Linked DNA regions of Sus scrofa. The protein of the gene in region 3 interacts with the protein of the main gene of each other region in a pairwise test. Links are inferred from orthologs where the notes say so. Each region holds a gene or a part of one and is shown on either strand. Other genes may lie near its edges.

Region 1 (4,325 bases), on a different chromosome or scaffold from region 3:
TTTATTAATCAAAAAATACCAGGGTCTATTGAAAACGATTCCCCTGCAAAGGGTATCAACGTTAATTCAAATCATGTAACACTGTAACACTAAATATTATTCAGTACTGTGGTAGTGGAGGTAAATTTCATAAAATTGGGGTCTTATATATACTGTAAATTGCTGTCTTTCTTGTTCATTAAAGTAGCATACAACATCACCAAATAAGAAAAGAATGGCTGCCGCACAGGCAAAAATAGGATGTGTAAGGACCAAAGGCACACTATTCAGCTAGCCAAAGTGATAGCAAACTCTTTTTTCCCCCGCAAGCCCTTTCCCCATGAGAACAAAAGTTTATTAAGGAGAAAAGAAAAATAAACTAAATTTTTAATCTTCAAAAGTAAGTATTTGGAGACATCAAATAGTCATTTTTGAGCATCAATAGTTGCTTCAAAAATGTCAACTATTGTCATCTGGATAGTTCTGATTATATTTTTAAGATGTATCCAAATTAGATCTCTTGACTATTAGGGACATTTTTGGGTCAAAATTATTTATCACCTAAAACATTTTACTTTAATTCCAAACATTTTAACCACTAGTATGACAACAGGGTTTTAGTTCTCTGAGGAATTAGCCAGTGGAAGGAAAAACACACAAATGAAACAAAATCCTATATTTAAGCTGCAGGCAACAATTATGGCCCTTTCTGGCACAGTAGCATTTGACTGGCAACTCAAAAGTCCGGGAATAACTCTAACACAGGGAAATTCATGCATTTTGGTAAATATGCCCTAACATTCACAGTTGAAGTTTCCTTTAGACCTTGCTTTTTTCAATAGGGACATCTTGCTTTATTTTTTTTCTTGATATTATCCTGACTTGTGACTTGAACCTGACTTCTTTTTCTTCTTCTTACTATGTTTTTTGTGCTGTTTCTTCTTCTTCTTCTTTGCTTTTTCTGTTGCTTTTTCTCGATCGTCACGTTTCCTTTTCTTCTTTGCTTGCATCTCCTCTTCATAATCTGATTCTGATGAGAGCTCTGATGATAAAGGTTTATCTTCAGGATAAGTCTTCTTTCTTTTTTTGCTGAGACTTTTAATATACTTTTCTTTCTCTGTTTCATCCTTTGACTTCTTCTTTTTTACAGATTCCTTGCTCTCTGATTCAGATTCACATGTAGAGCTTTCTGATGATTTGTATGCACGGTTCTTTTTTTTCTTTCTCTTTTTTCCTTGTTTCTTCTCCTCATCCTCAGAATCTGAAGAACTGCTTGAAGAATCAGAGCTTGATGAAGAAGACGACGAAGACTGACAAGATTTCTTCTTTTTCTTTTTCTTTCTTTCCCTTTTCTTGGATGAGCTCTCGTTTCCACTTAATAACTTCTCTCTGCTTTTTTCTAGTTCTTTCTTCCAATTCTCATTCATTTTTTCTTCAAATTCAGCTAATGCCTTGGAGCCTTTCTTTTTATTTTCTAATTGTTTCTTCACTTCTTCCCAGGTCGGCCTCGGTCGATTCAGATAATCTTGTATTGTTGGGCCTGCAGATTGCGAGGGGCCCCGCCATCTGGCCATTGCTATAGGATTCATATAAGCTACACGATTATCCCGCTTCCCCATGGTGCCTGATGGTTCCCAGAGCAGACTCTCAGTTGTTAAAGAGAATAAAGATAGACACCCTCCTTAAATTCTTCATCTGCTGGTATAACAAGTAGGCTCCATTCTGTGAGAGAAGCAGATGGAATGATTAAAAAACATCTTTAATATAAGACAAAGTAAGCACATAAGTTTAATTGTTCACTGTCTATCACACAGTATAGTAGAAAGATTTCCAAAATCTTAGAGAAAAGATAATACACAATTTTTGCCTATTTTAGACATTGTGGTATGAATATAATATAAAGTGTTTTTTATACCTCATGTGAGGTTCTATTATCTAAATATTTAAATAACTACTTCCTTTTGCATTGTATGATATTTACCTTTTTTTTCTTTCTTTCATTCTGCCTAATATGGTATAAAGAGAGAAAAATTTCTATAGCTAAATTCTGTAGCAAGCAGACCTTTTCCATCTTAAGAAAGTACATCATAAAGCATTCCACTCTTTGATAGTAACCTAGGAGTCATACCTGAACAATCCTTCACCCTCAACTCTCACATCCAATTCATTACTAAATCCTGCTGTTTAAACTCACCACAATAATAGATCTCATGTCTGTTCACTTCTATCCATATATGTTGTCATCAACATAGTCCAGGTACTGTCATCTCTCATTTGGCCTATTAATCTCTAGTATCTATTAAGGGTTTATTATATGCCAGGGAGTCCTTAGTGTTGTGCAGTAGATTATGTGATTCAGTCTCAAGACTTATTCTTTGAGGTTGGTCCTATTATTACCCCTATTACACAGATGAAGAAACAGAGGCTTAGAGGTTTTGAATAACTTGTGTAACATAATAAATGGCATATGGCAAAACCAGGCTTCAAATCAAGGCAGCCTAATGTCAAAACCTACACACCTAACACAACGCTCTATTGCCTCCTTACATCAACTTCTTAATTGATAGCCCTATTTTACCCATTCTGTCTTCCATTCCAGTCCCACATTGAAATCAGAAGGATCTTAAAATGTTCCAGTAGCTTTACATTTTAATGAGAATCAAATACAAACTCCTATAAAGGTCCTTTTTGGTGGATCCTCTTACTTTCATCTAGAGTTATTTACCCCTTTTCTCAACTCTATCTTTTCTGATCTTCTCTTTGATTCGGGAACGTGTAAGCTCCAGGCCAGTTTCACCTCATTTTCAGGTCTCATTTTAAATGCCAGTTTTTCTGAAAGGTAACTATTAGGTCAAACTATATAAAATCACCAATTATATAGGACAAAAAGAGTCAAATACCAACAATTTCATATGGTTCAACCTTATATCAAAGTATGTTACCTCTGTAGCTCTCTCTCATACTCATTATTTTGTACCACAGTTCCTTGTTTCTTTTATTCACAGCACTTAGAAAATCAATAATTATTTTATACATCTATGTGGATATGTGTGTATTTGTGTGTGTACATGTCTGTGTGTATGTATCCATCACTAAATATAAGGCCAAGAGGGTAAAGGTCATATTTGATTTGTCTTACAACACCATGGTTTTCTCAGGGCCTAACATGGCATATGTCCCACACTAAGTACTCAATAAATATGTGCAAAATAATAAACAAATAAATGACTGTATTGATAACTCTGTGAGAGAGGGACATCCAGAGAAACCTCTTGGAGTTTGTGACGTCAGTATAGGGTTTTGAAGGATAAATAGGAGTTCACTCAGGAAATGGGGAAATGAAGGACATTCTAGGCAGAGGAAACAGTATGTAAAAAACCTGAGAGATCTGAAGGAGCACTATGTATTTAGTGTTGACGGAGCCTAAAGTGTTAAGAGGGAACTGGTAGGAGGTGAGGCTGCATATGAAGTAAGTAGCTTGACCATCAGGCCTTCTTAGGTTATTTTAACATTTTGGATTTTGTCTTAGAGTTGTTAGGAAGCTATCAAAGTTTGAAGAGAAAGATGATAGGACATATCACAGATTTTTCTGTCAGTCTCCGTCTTGACTCTGACCCTTTAAGTCAACCTAACATACTTACTCATCATAAGCTCAATGCCACAGATTTTACACTGATTCTTGGTAATAGTTTTCTGTGTTTGATTTGTTGTATTATCTTATTTTCCTTCCTCTTCAATTCTGCCCAGCTCCTCTTGGGTCTTTTTGTCATTTTCATTTTTAATGCTACTCTACAGATCTGTCAAATATCATTGTTTCCAAGACTTGAACATCAAAAGCCCTTAAGGACATAGTTCACATTAAACTTGCTGGTAGTTTCTGCAACTGTACATTTAGAATAGCATAATCCGGAGTTCCCGTCGTGGCGCAGTGGTTAACGAATCCGACTAGGAACCATGAGGTTGCGGGTTCGGTCCCTGCCCTTGCTCAGTGGGTTAACGATCCGGCGTTGCCGTGAGCTGTGGTGTAGGTTGCAGACGTGGCTCGGATCCTGCGTTGCTGTGGCTCTGGCATAGGCCGGTGGCTACAGCTCCGATTGGACCCCTAGCCTGGGAACCTCCATATGCCGCGGGAGTGGCCCAAAGAAAAAGCAAAAAGACAAAAAAAAAAAAAAAAAAAAAAAAAAAAGAATAGCATAATCCATTCTAATTTCAGCTCCTTGAGACCTAGTCCTGACATCATCTAGAAAGACAAGCAAAGACCAGTTCACAAAGGATTTGGATGTGCTATTGAGGTTGGAATTTATTCTAAGGGACTTAGAGTGAAGCTAATGGGGAAATATTGACTA
Region 2 (4,425 bases), on a different chromosome or scaffold from region 3:
AATGTGAATTCTATCCCACTCCATCCCCCAAACTGGCATTTTAGGAATCTACACATTCTTAAACAGGAGGAAAATCAAATTGCAATAATGTAGAATATGAAGATCCACTGTGATTCCACATTAGAAACAACAACGATGGAATAAAACCCACAGGGATATGCGGCAGCGTAATTGTGACTTCATCTCCTTTGCCGACCTGGAGCTCTCCTTCACAGGAAGTGTCTATAGATGCCGGCTTAAAGTCATCTAAAGGGAAAGGGAAAAAAACATTTATCTACCAGGTTACTAATACTAAGCAAAGGCTTCTGGGGCATTTTCACTTAAGAATTGAAATTTTTTATGACTCAGATAAATGGAAAATACAAACCAGTTAGGAGTTTCTAAAAAAGTATTTCATTGTGGAAAACTTCTCATACACAAAAGCAGAGAGAACAATACAACGAGCTCCTGTGTACCACCACCCAGCTTCAATAATTACCAGCTCCAAGATAATCTTGTTGCAGCTATACCTCCACATACTTTTCCTCCCATCTCCACTGGATTATTTTGAAGAAAAAAAAAAGCTAGAATGTATATACTATTTTATTAAGCAAAGATATTCCCCTCTCTCAAGTGACAGATGAAAATTAATGCCTTATTCATAATGAATGTTTTACTAGGGTAATTACAAGGATCAAAAGCAACAGAGCACAGTTTTTAAATCCTGTGATTGTAAAACCCAATGTGAAAAATGAAAAGCTACAGCATCATATGCGCTGATTTCATTTTGCATAGGAACTGTCAACATTAGGATCTGCCACACTCAAGTTCCATAGCTTTAATAAGGACACGCCTATAGATGTTTGGGGATGACCGCTGAACTGTATTTCCAAAGGTTAATCCTGCCTGTGTCTCTGGATTGCAGTTAAAGCACAACCTGAACAGCACTCTTACTTTTAACACACATTTGCCTCAACCTGCAGGCCAGGTGCCTCTTTGAAGTATCTTTCTTAAGCTCCTCACTTTCCTTCACGCTACCAACAAATAACCTCCTCAGGAAATGACGCTCCCTCACATCCTCAATATCCTCCCTCAGAAAGGGCTGATCTGCTGTCAGTAGGAAGAAGAGGAATGACGGTGCAAGTGACCACATGAAGACAGAACATCATTATCTAACACACCCTCTTCCAAGGTGTTGAGTCACCTCTGAGAGTTCCTCTCAGAAAAACAAGTCTTAACCAGCATTAGGGCTACCAGGATGGGAAGCCAGGAGTTTGTGAATCAGAGAGATGCTCAGTCAGCCAAGTCTTTACTCAGGACACAGAGTAGAAGGGCCCTCCCTCAACAGAGTCTGTAATCAAGGAGAAAAAGGAGACCCAGCATAATGACTATTTTCACATTCCTTATGTCTGCTGCTTCTGCTTCCAAACATAGACCAAGCTGTAACTTATTCTTGGCTCACAAATTCCAATTTTATTCCTCACCCACAAGGGACATGGTCCCGAGGAAAAGTCGGGGTAGTCCAGGTAACCTCAAAGGCAGACGAAAAGCTGGCACGAAGAGATGGAGGAGGAAGACTGATGCGGCGCAGAGGGGAATGCGGTTTCTGATGTTTGCAGTGGGGATGAAGCGCGGCGTTAGGGCGGCCAGAACCAAAACATACGAGAAAAGTGAGGACAACAGAAGAAAATGGAATAGGAGAGAGTGGAGGCAGCTCCCAAGCAAACGGGAAAAATCTTTGAATCGTGGAGATCCCCTAGTGGGTCGTGGTGGAGTGGGGGGCCTAGGGAAACGAGCTGAACCCTGATGTGGACTCGGCAACCTTTAGGCAGCAAGAGGGGTAGGTTCGGCACGCGGGAGGGCTGGACCTGGCAGGAAAGGGGGCCAATGGTCTTTGGAAGACGTGTTTGGGACCACGAGGCAGAGGAACAGGAGGGAGGGACGAAAAGTCTTGTTTGGGAAGAGTGAACCGGGAAAAAGCAAAATGTCCCTGCGGATCCGGGGAGATAGGAAGGGAACTGATGCTGGCAGGCTCCCCGGGCTACGGGATCGAGGTCGGCCTGTGGCGGCTGCGGGATGCGGACTCACAGCGGATGGTGTGGAAGGAGGCCCGCGGCCGATTCTCGAAGCTCTCCCCAAGCCGCAGGCGGTGCTCCTCGCGGTCCAGCAGAGGGTTGGCCGTCCCGTTCATGGCCCCGCACGGGCCGCGCGCCCGCCCCGGCGCCCTCCTGGCGCGCCCGCGGCCGGAGCTGCCGGCGCCTGAGTTCGAGGGAGCAGCGCTCCCGGGACAGCACCCCGGGGCGAGCGGAGAACCGAGCCGGTGCCCACCTGCGGCTGGAAATAAGTCCTGGCGTGCGCGTCGGGGCGGGGGACAACTGTGAGGAAGCGGGGCCGCGGAACTTCCGGCGCCGGGGAGGGACTTCCGGTCTCGAAGCGGAAGTGGCGGGGGCGGTGCCATGGCAAAAAGACTCCGCTGGGAGAAGCCCAATGCGAGGTGCTGCAGACTGGTTTGTCCAGCCGCTGGGTTTTACCGCGGTGGCTCCCAAATTCTACTCACGCGGTTGGGCCTGGGTGAGGGCTTAGCGCGCCCGGCGCCACCCTCCAGGGGAACCTAGGAACTGAAGACTGGGCGCTGGCGCGCGGCGGTCTCGGTGAACAGGGCTCCTCACAAGCGCTCACAGGTGCTCGTGGCCGGGCGGCCAGGTTATCCCCGGTGTCCTGGAACCCCACACCACGCGTCCCTGGGTCTCTTCCTTCCCTTTGCGCGGACGACTGCGCGAGGGCCTCAGTTCCTGGAAAGCGACGCCCCTCTGCTTCGTGAAACTCTGCGACTGAGGCCTCCCAGGCTTAGCTCCGTGTTCCTTGGAAACGGTGACACTGCTTCTGTCTGTGAATTGACCACCCTTCTCCAGTACCGGCAGCTGTTAAGTCGCCCCTTTCACGGGCACCGAACATTGACGAGTATCTTCCCCCAAAGGTTTCTTAGTTCTTGGGAGTGACTCTGTTCTAAACTAAAGCGATTTATTATAATAGTTGACTTATTCAGGTTTGAATTAGAGTTCTATGCGTGAGAGCGCCCTGGCAGCTGAATGTCAGCCCTCTGTAGGCAAGGGCAGTGTCTGGGTCTTCTTTATGACCTCTTTTCTTATAGCGGGGCAGGGTTTTGTGTAGGGTCGGCCACTAGTAAACATTTGGTGAATTGAACTGTTTGGTGAAAAAACTGTGTTAGAACCACTAACTCAGCATCTTTAAAACTGTTCCAGAACCCCCAACCAGAATCTCATTCTTTTTTCCTGCAAAACACCCGACGTTGCCTGAGGCCTGAACCCAAAGAGAGGGGCCGCATCTGAGAAAACTCTGCCTGTGTAGTATCTGCTTGAATTTCTCGGGTTATTCGCGAAGGGAGAATATCCAGCAGTGTTAAATATATTACCATCAACTTAGGAGATGGCTTCTTTGCAAAGGAAAGGGCTGCAGGCAAGGGTTCTCAGCTCTGAAGAAGAGGAAAAACTGAAAAGAGACCAGGCTTTAGTGTCTGATTTTAAACAGCAAAAACTGGAAAAAGAGGCTCAGAAAAACTGGGACCTTTTTTACAAAAGAAATAGCACTAATTTCTTCAAAGATAGACACTGGACCACCAGAGAGTTTGAGGAGCTCAGATCTTGTAGAGAGGTAAACTAATATTACGCCTTATTTGAACTGTCTTTCATTAAGAATGTGTGGAAGAGGGGTGTTTTATTGCATTCTCACGGGCAGTGTGAGGTAGAGAATATATGAAGCCTGTCAAAACGCTTCATAAGTTTTTGTACCTTAGAAATACACTGTTGGAGTTCCCGTCGTGGCGCAGTGGTTAACGAATCCATGAGAAACCATGAGGTTGCGGGTTCGATACCTGCCCTTGCTCAGTGGGTTAACGATCCGGCGTTGCCGTGAGCTGTGGTGTAGGTCGCAGACGCGGCTCGGATCCCACATTGCTGTGGCTCTGGCGTAGGCCGGTGGCTACAGCTCCGATTCGACCCCTAGCCTGGGAACCTCCATATGCCTCAGGAGCAGCCCAAGAAATGGCAAAAAGACAAAAAAGAAAAAGAAATACACTTTTTATCTCAAGGAGTTTTAGCAGTTCCTGGGCTTTAGTGGGCATTTTCTGTTTCTTTAAAGTTAATCCCAAAGTGGTAAATATTAAATTCATACCAAATGGTTTCAATGATAGCTTCAAAATAATAATGATGATGAACATTTTGCCACAGCCCTTTTCTAGAACTTTACCTGTGTTCTGTAATTGAAAGCTGGTGATAACACTGTGAAGTTTTTATTAGTATTATCCCCTCTTGCTGATGATTTTGAGGCACAGAGCTATTTAAGTGATTTGTCCAGCAGTAGAACACCAGGCAAGGGGAGGAGGCCAGATCTGAGTGTGGGTGGTTTAATTTCAGAGCATGTTCTGTT
Region 3 (4,425 bases):
AGCATGTGGAAATTTATGGACCAGGGATCGAACCCATGCCACAGGAGCCACTGGGGCTGCTGCAGTGATAGCCCTGGACCCTCAACCTGCTGCACCAACATGGAAGTCCACGGGTATGTTTTTTAGGGTTGCCAAATTATGAACCTACCCAGGATGCCCACAGCTCTTGGTCTGGCCCTGACTCTGGCATTATTCTGTAACAGGGATGAGGACAGTCTAGTTCGTGCTTAGAAATGATTTTGTACATGAAGAGCAGAGTTTGAGGTTAGGCGGGTGAAAGTTTCAGTTTTGGTTCTGTCTCTTCCTGAGTAGAGCCCCAGCTAAACCTTATTTCCCTCAGCTATAAAACAGAGGAATACTGACTCTGCATCCAAGATGGCCAAGATACTAGGTTGAGCGAGAACCACAGGATATAGAATCTTTCTGTTTCAGAATTTTGTTTCCACATCTGGAAACCACCTCTAGGCTTGCCCATTCCCTCAGGTCCTGTATGGGGCACTTACAGAGATCTTTGACACAAGCGTACTGCTGGTTGCTGTAGAGTGGGGAGCTATAGGCCCGACGGAAACCAGGGGGCTGTAGGATGGGATGGGAGAAAGCATTAGAGATAACAAGGTAGAGCCCCAAACCCCACCTCTCCCATGAACGTCCACCCTTTCTTGGAGTAAAAGATAGGCTGAGGAAGAAAAAGCAGGGAAATGGATGGGATGCCTTGAGGAGGGACCGGCAAGGAGGTAGCGGGCAACATGTCCCCTCCCTTCTACTTTCTTGCTCCCCAGAGCCTACTCACGATCTTGCCGAAGCATCTCTGCATCTCCACGTAGGACTGACAGTGTTCGTGGATGTTAGTTTTGCAGTTCTTACAGCGAAGCCCAAATTTGTTGTTGACTTGGGAGATGGGGAGAACATTTGCGTGAGGTTCCTGATTGCCCTTTCCCTTCCTAACACTGCTGCTACTCTAGTTCTCAGGTCCCTTTTCAGTATAGGACCTGACACTCTCCATCTCTGCAGTAGTTTCTTAAAGCTAAATCTTGCCACAGCCTATCTGATGTACAAATACTCCTCTCCTAAATCCTTTCCCCTGCCCCCTGCCTTTGGCATCACACTCTCCACTTCCCTCTGTGACTCACGCACAATCATCCGGGCGCAGACGTCACAGAACTTGGGCTTCTTGAAGAAGTGATCTTTGAATTTGTGGGGCTTATCATTGACAAGCTTGGGAGGTTCTGGGAGTGGTTCTTCTTCCTCTTCCTCCTCTTCTTCCTCTTCCTCATAGATGTAGTAGATGGGCCCACCCCCAGCTCCCACTGCCTCCCCATTGGCCTGGGGCTCTGGGGGAAGCTCCATCTCCTTTGTCCCTGTAGACTCCTTCCTAAATAACTGCTTCAGCCGCTGTAGCTGAGGGAGGGAAGGAAGGAAGGAGGGAAGGAAGGAAACCCAGTGTTAAAGGAACTGTCTTGCTTTTTAGAGTAGGTCAGGCTGAAGCTAACTAGACATTCTTCAAGCTTGGGGCAAGGGGCACACCCCAGGATTAGGGGGTCCTGGGGCCTGTAGGTGCTAGCTAGCATTTGAACAATACATGAATCGTATACAAGTGAGATCAATTCAAGCAATTTTCTTCAAGACTGCAGTGGCTTCCCAGCTCCCCATACCCCATGGTCAAGGCCCAGACTCACCCCACTTTGCCGAGTCTCTCCTGGGAAGGAGGGCTTATGGGACTCCAGCACCTCCTTTTCTGTCATCCTGCAAGAGGTTGACCTCACTATGAAATCTAATCTCTGAATGACATTCTTCCCCCCTTGTTCCTGTCCCTTGCAGTAGGGTGGTCCTTGAAGGGGAGGCTTTGGGAGAAATTTGGTTAAACAGAGATTCTTTCACAGACAGGGGCAAGGAGCAGAAAGATTCCAGAAAGGCCCAGAGAAAAGCCCAACAGACAAAAGAACTTCCCTACCAACTCCTTAAACCAATGACCATCCTTCTATCCTGATGGGCAACCCCAGAGTTTACTGCCCTGAGACAGTGCACAAGGCTGTGTGGTTTAGGCATTTTCCTACAAGCACTTTGTTTCTCTTGGGAATCTGTGGGCTTTGGTTTTTATTTATTTATTTTTGTCTTTTTCTAGGGCTGCACTCGTGGCATAGGGAGGTTCCCAGGCTAGCGGTCTAATTAGAGCTGCAGCTGCCGGCCTACACCACAGCCGCAGCAATGCCGGCTCCTTACCCCACTGAGCAAGGCCAGGGATCAAACCCGCAACCTCATGGTTCCTAGTCGGATTCGTTAACCACTGAGCCATGATGGCAACTCCAAGGGAATCTGTGGGCTTTAGAAATGTGACACACACCTTCCCAGATCCCCTTTCAAGAGGTTTAATGTGCATGTCCACAAGTGCGCATAGAGGGATGGGCTGGGGACATTTGTTCTCTCCTACCTTTCTTGAGCTCAGGGGCCCGGTGCCTAGTTCCCTAGTTCCCAGCCTGCCTCAGGCTTCAGCTATTTTAAGTTTTCAGAGTAATATGAGACTTTCCTTCCCTTACTACTCTACTCCCCTGACCCCACCCCCACCCTACCCTTCAATCCTAACTCTTGTCCTGGAGTAGCTTAATAATTTCACTCCTAAAACCCAAACTACTCACAGACAATGAGAGAAATGAAGAAGCTGAATAGACTACGGATTGGGGAAGCTGGGGTGAGAAGTCCTGGAAACGCAAAGAGGATGAAGAGGCAACTTACGTTTGGGATTCCCTAAGTCAGTCCACAGTCTGTGGAGAAAAGAGGGAGCCCCTGGGGTCTTGATGGTGGTGCTGGGGGAGGACTGGTCCTCTTCCTTGGGGGCTAAGCCCCCCCAGTACCCTCTGTACTCACACCAGCTACCCAGACGGTATTTGTAGACCTCCTAGCCTCTCGCCTTGGTGTCAGAGCTGAAATGACAGGGCTGGAGGAAAGTGGACAGCTGAGCGACACAGCTGACACAGAGAAATTGGACACGAGGAGGTCTGGGCAGGGCTGGACCCTAACTCCTCCCATCCCCCCACACTGCTGTTGCTTGGTTTTTCATCCACGGTGTGCAGTTCAGCATTGGCTAAACTCAGGAGGGGACAGTGTCCATGCTGGACACTTGCGTGGCTGATTTTAGATGACTTACAAACAGCCTTATCCATCCCCTTTCCCCCAAGGTCTCAATACCTCCCCGATTCTCCCCTCCTTGAACCTGTTTTAGGAACTAGCCTTTGACTTCTTAGCCATTGTCTTCTTGTGGTCCCTGTCTTGTTTTTATACCCTCAAGCATCGATCTAGGCTCCAACAGTAAGAAAGCTTGGAAACTGGTCAAGAAAGGATAATTTGGATTTCCAGAGCTCAGCCAAACTAGATTGCCTTTTTTTTTTTTTTTTTTTTTTGGCCGTGCTCACGGCATGCATAAATTAATTCCCGGACCAGGAATTGAACCCATGTCACAGCAGCAACCAGAGCCATAGAAGTGATAATGCCGGGTCTTTAAACCACTGAGCCACTAGGGATCTCCTAGATGGCCTTCCTGCCCATGAGCAGTGGCTGCTATCTGGTAAGGCAGTGACGACACGCAGTATTGCTTTGTTCCCTCCAGCTGCCCCCAGAGATCTTTTCCCTATTTCTCTAAAGTCTTGTCCTCAGGGTGAAAGGAATTCTAAGAGCTATTTTAAAAAGTCAGGCTGGGACTTCCACCTGAGGGTCTCTGAGGGAGTGAGGGTCCAATGATCACAGAGATGGTTTCATTAACATTGCACAGAAGGCAAGAGTTGTCACATTGGGAGTTTTTATCATCTGTAAGTAAGTCTCCTTCCTCATGGGAGCTGCAAACTCTTGGAGACAGGATGGCCAAGCCTCACATTTCCTTCATCATTCTGACTCCCTGATTCCTTCTCTTTCTGATGATGTCCTGGCATATGAACTGATGGGTCAATGAGATAGTTGGCATTCTTTTTTTTGGAGGGGGGTCTTTTTAGGGCTGCACCTTCGGCATATGGAAATTCCCAGGCTAGAGTCAAATTGGAGCTGCAGCTGCCAGCCTATACCACACCACAGTCACAGCAACGTGGGATCCGAGCCTTGTCTGTGACCTACACCACAGCTTACAGCAACACCGGATCCTTTGACTCAATGAGTGGGTCCAGGGATGGAACCTGCATCCTCAGGGACATTAGCTGGGTTCATTACTGCTGAGCCACAACAGGAACTCTGATATCTGGCATTCTTTTTTTTTTTTTTTTTTTTTTTTTTTTGTCTTTTTGCTATTTCTTGGGCCGCTCTCGCGGCATATGGAGGTTCCCAGGCTAGGGGTTGAATCGCAGCTGTAGCCACTGGCCTACACCAGAGCCACATCAACGCGGGATCCGAGCCGCGTCTGTAACCTACACCACAGCTCACAGCAACGCTGGATCGTTAACCCAC

Evidence for each region.
Region 1: the proteins of STAC3 (region 3) and FAM133A interact in binary tests that used the Homo sapiens proteins (3 or more experiments, as listed by UniProt). The two-hybrid records come from large-scale screens. The link is inferred for Sus scrofa from reciprocal best matches to the Homo sapiens genes STAC3 and FAM133A.
Region 2: the proteins of STAC3 (region 3) and EAF1 interact in binary tests that used the Homo sapiens proteins (3 or more experiments, as listed by UniProt). The two-hybrid records come from large-scale screens. The link is inferred for Sus scrofa from reciprocal best matches to the Homo sapiens genes STAC3 and EAF1.

Annotation. Positions count from the first base shown.
Region 1 is NC_010461.5:76,176,355-76,180,679, reverse strand, and holds part of FAM133A (protein FAM133A), read right to left. Parts: intron 1,702-4,325; 5' UTR 1,599-1,701; coding exon 852-1,598; 3' UTR 1-851.
Region 2 is NC_010455.5:2,652,841-2,657,265, reverse strand, and holds the start of EAF1 (ELL-associated factor 1), read right to left. Parts: upstream 2,438-4,425; coding exon 2,068-2,437; intron 247-2,067; coding exon 152-246; intron 1-151. Other genes in the region: METTL6 (methyltransferase-like protein 6), read left to right, coding at 3,427-3,651. UniProt on the Homo sapiens protein: Acts as a transcriptional transactivator of ELL and ELL2 elongation activities.
Region 3 is NC_010447.5:22,553,269-22,557,693, forward strand, and holds the start of STAC3 (SH3 and cysteine-rich domain-containing protein 3), read right to left. Parts: upstream 3,063-4,425; 5' UTR 2,731-3,062; intron 1,842-2,730; 5' UTR 1,743-1,841; coding exon 1,677-1,742; intron 1,399-1,676; coding exon 1,131-1,398; intron 889-1,130; coding exon 791-888; intron 577-790; coding exon 504-576; intron 1-503. UniProt on the Homo sapiens protein: Required for normal excitation-contraction coupling in skeletal muscle and for normal muscle contraction in response to membrane depolarization. Required for normal Ca(2+) release from the sarcplasmic reticulum, which ultimately leads to muscle contraction.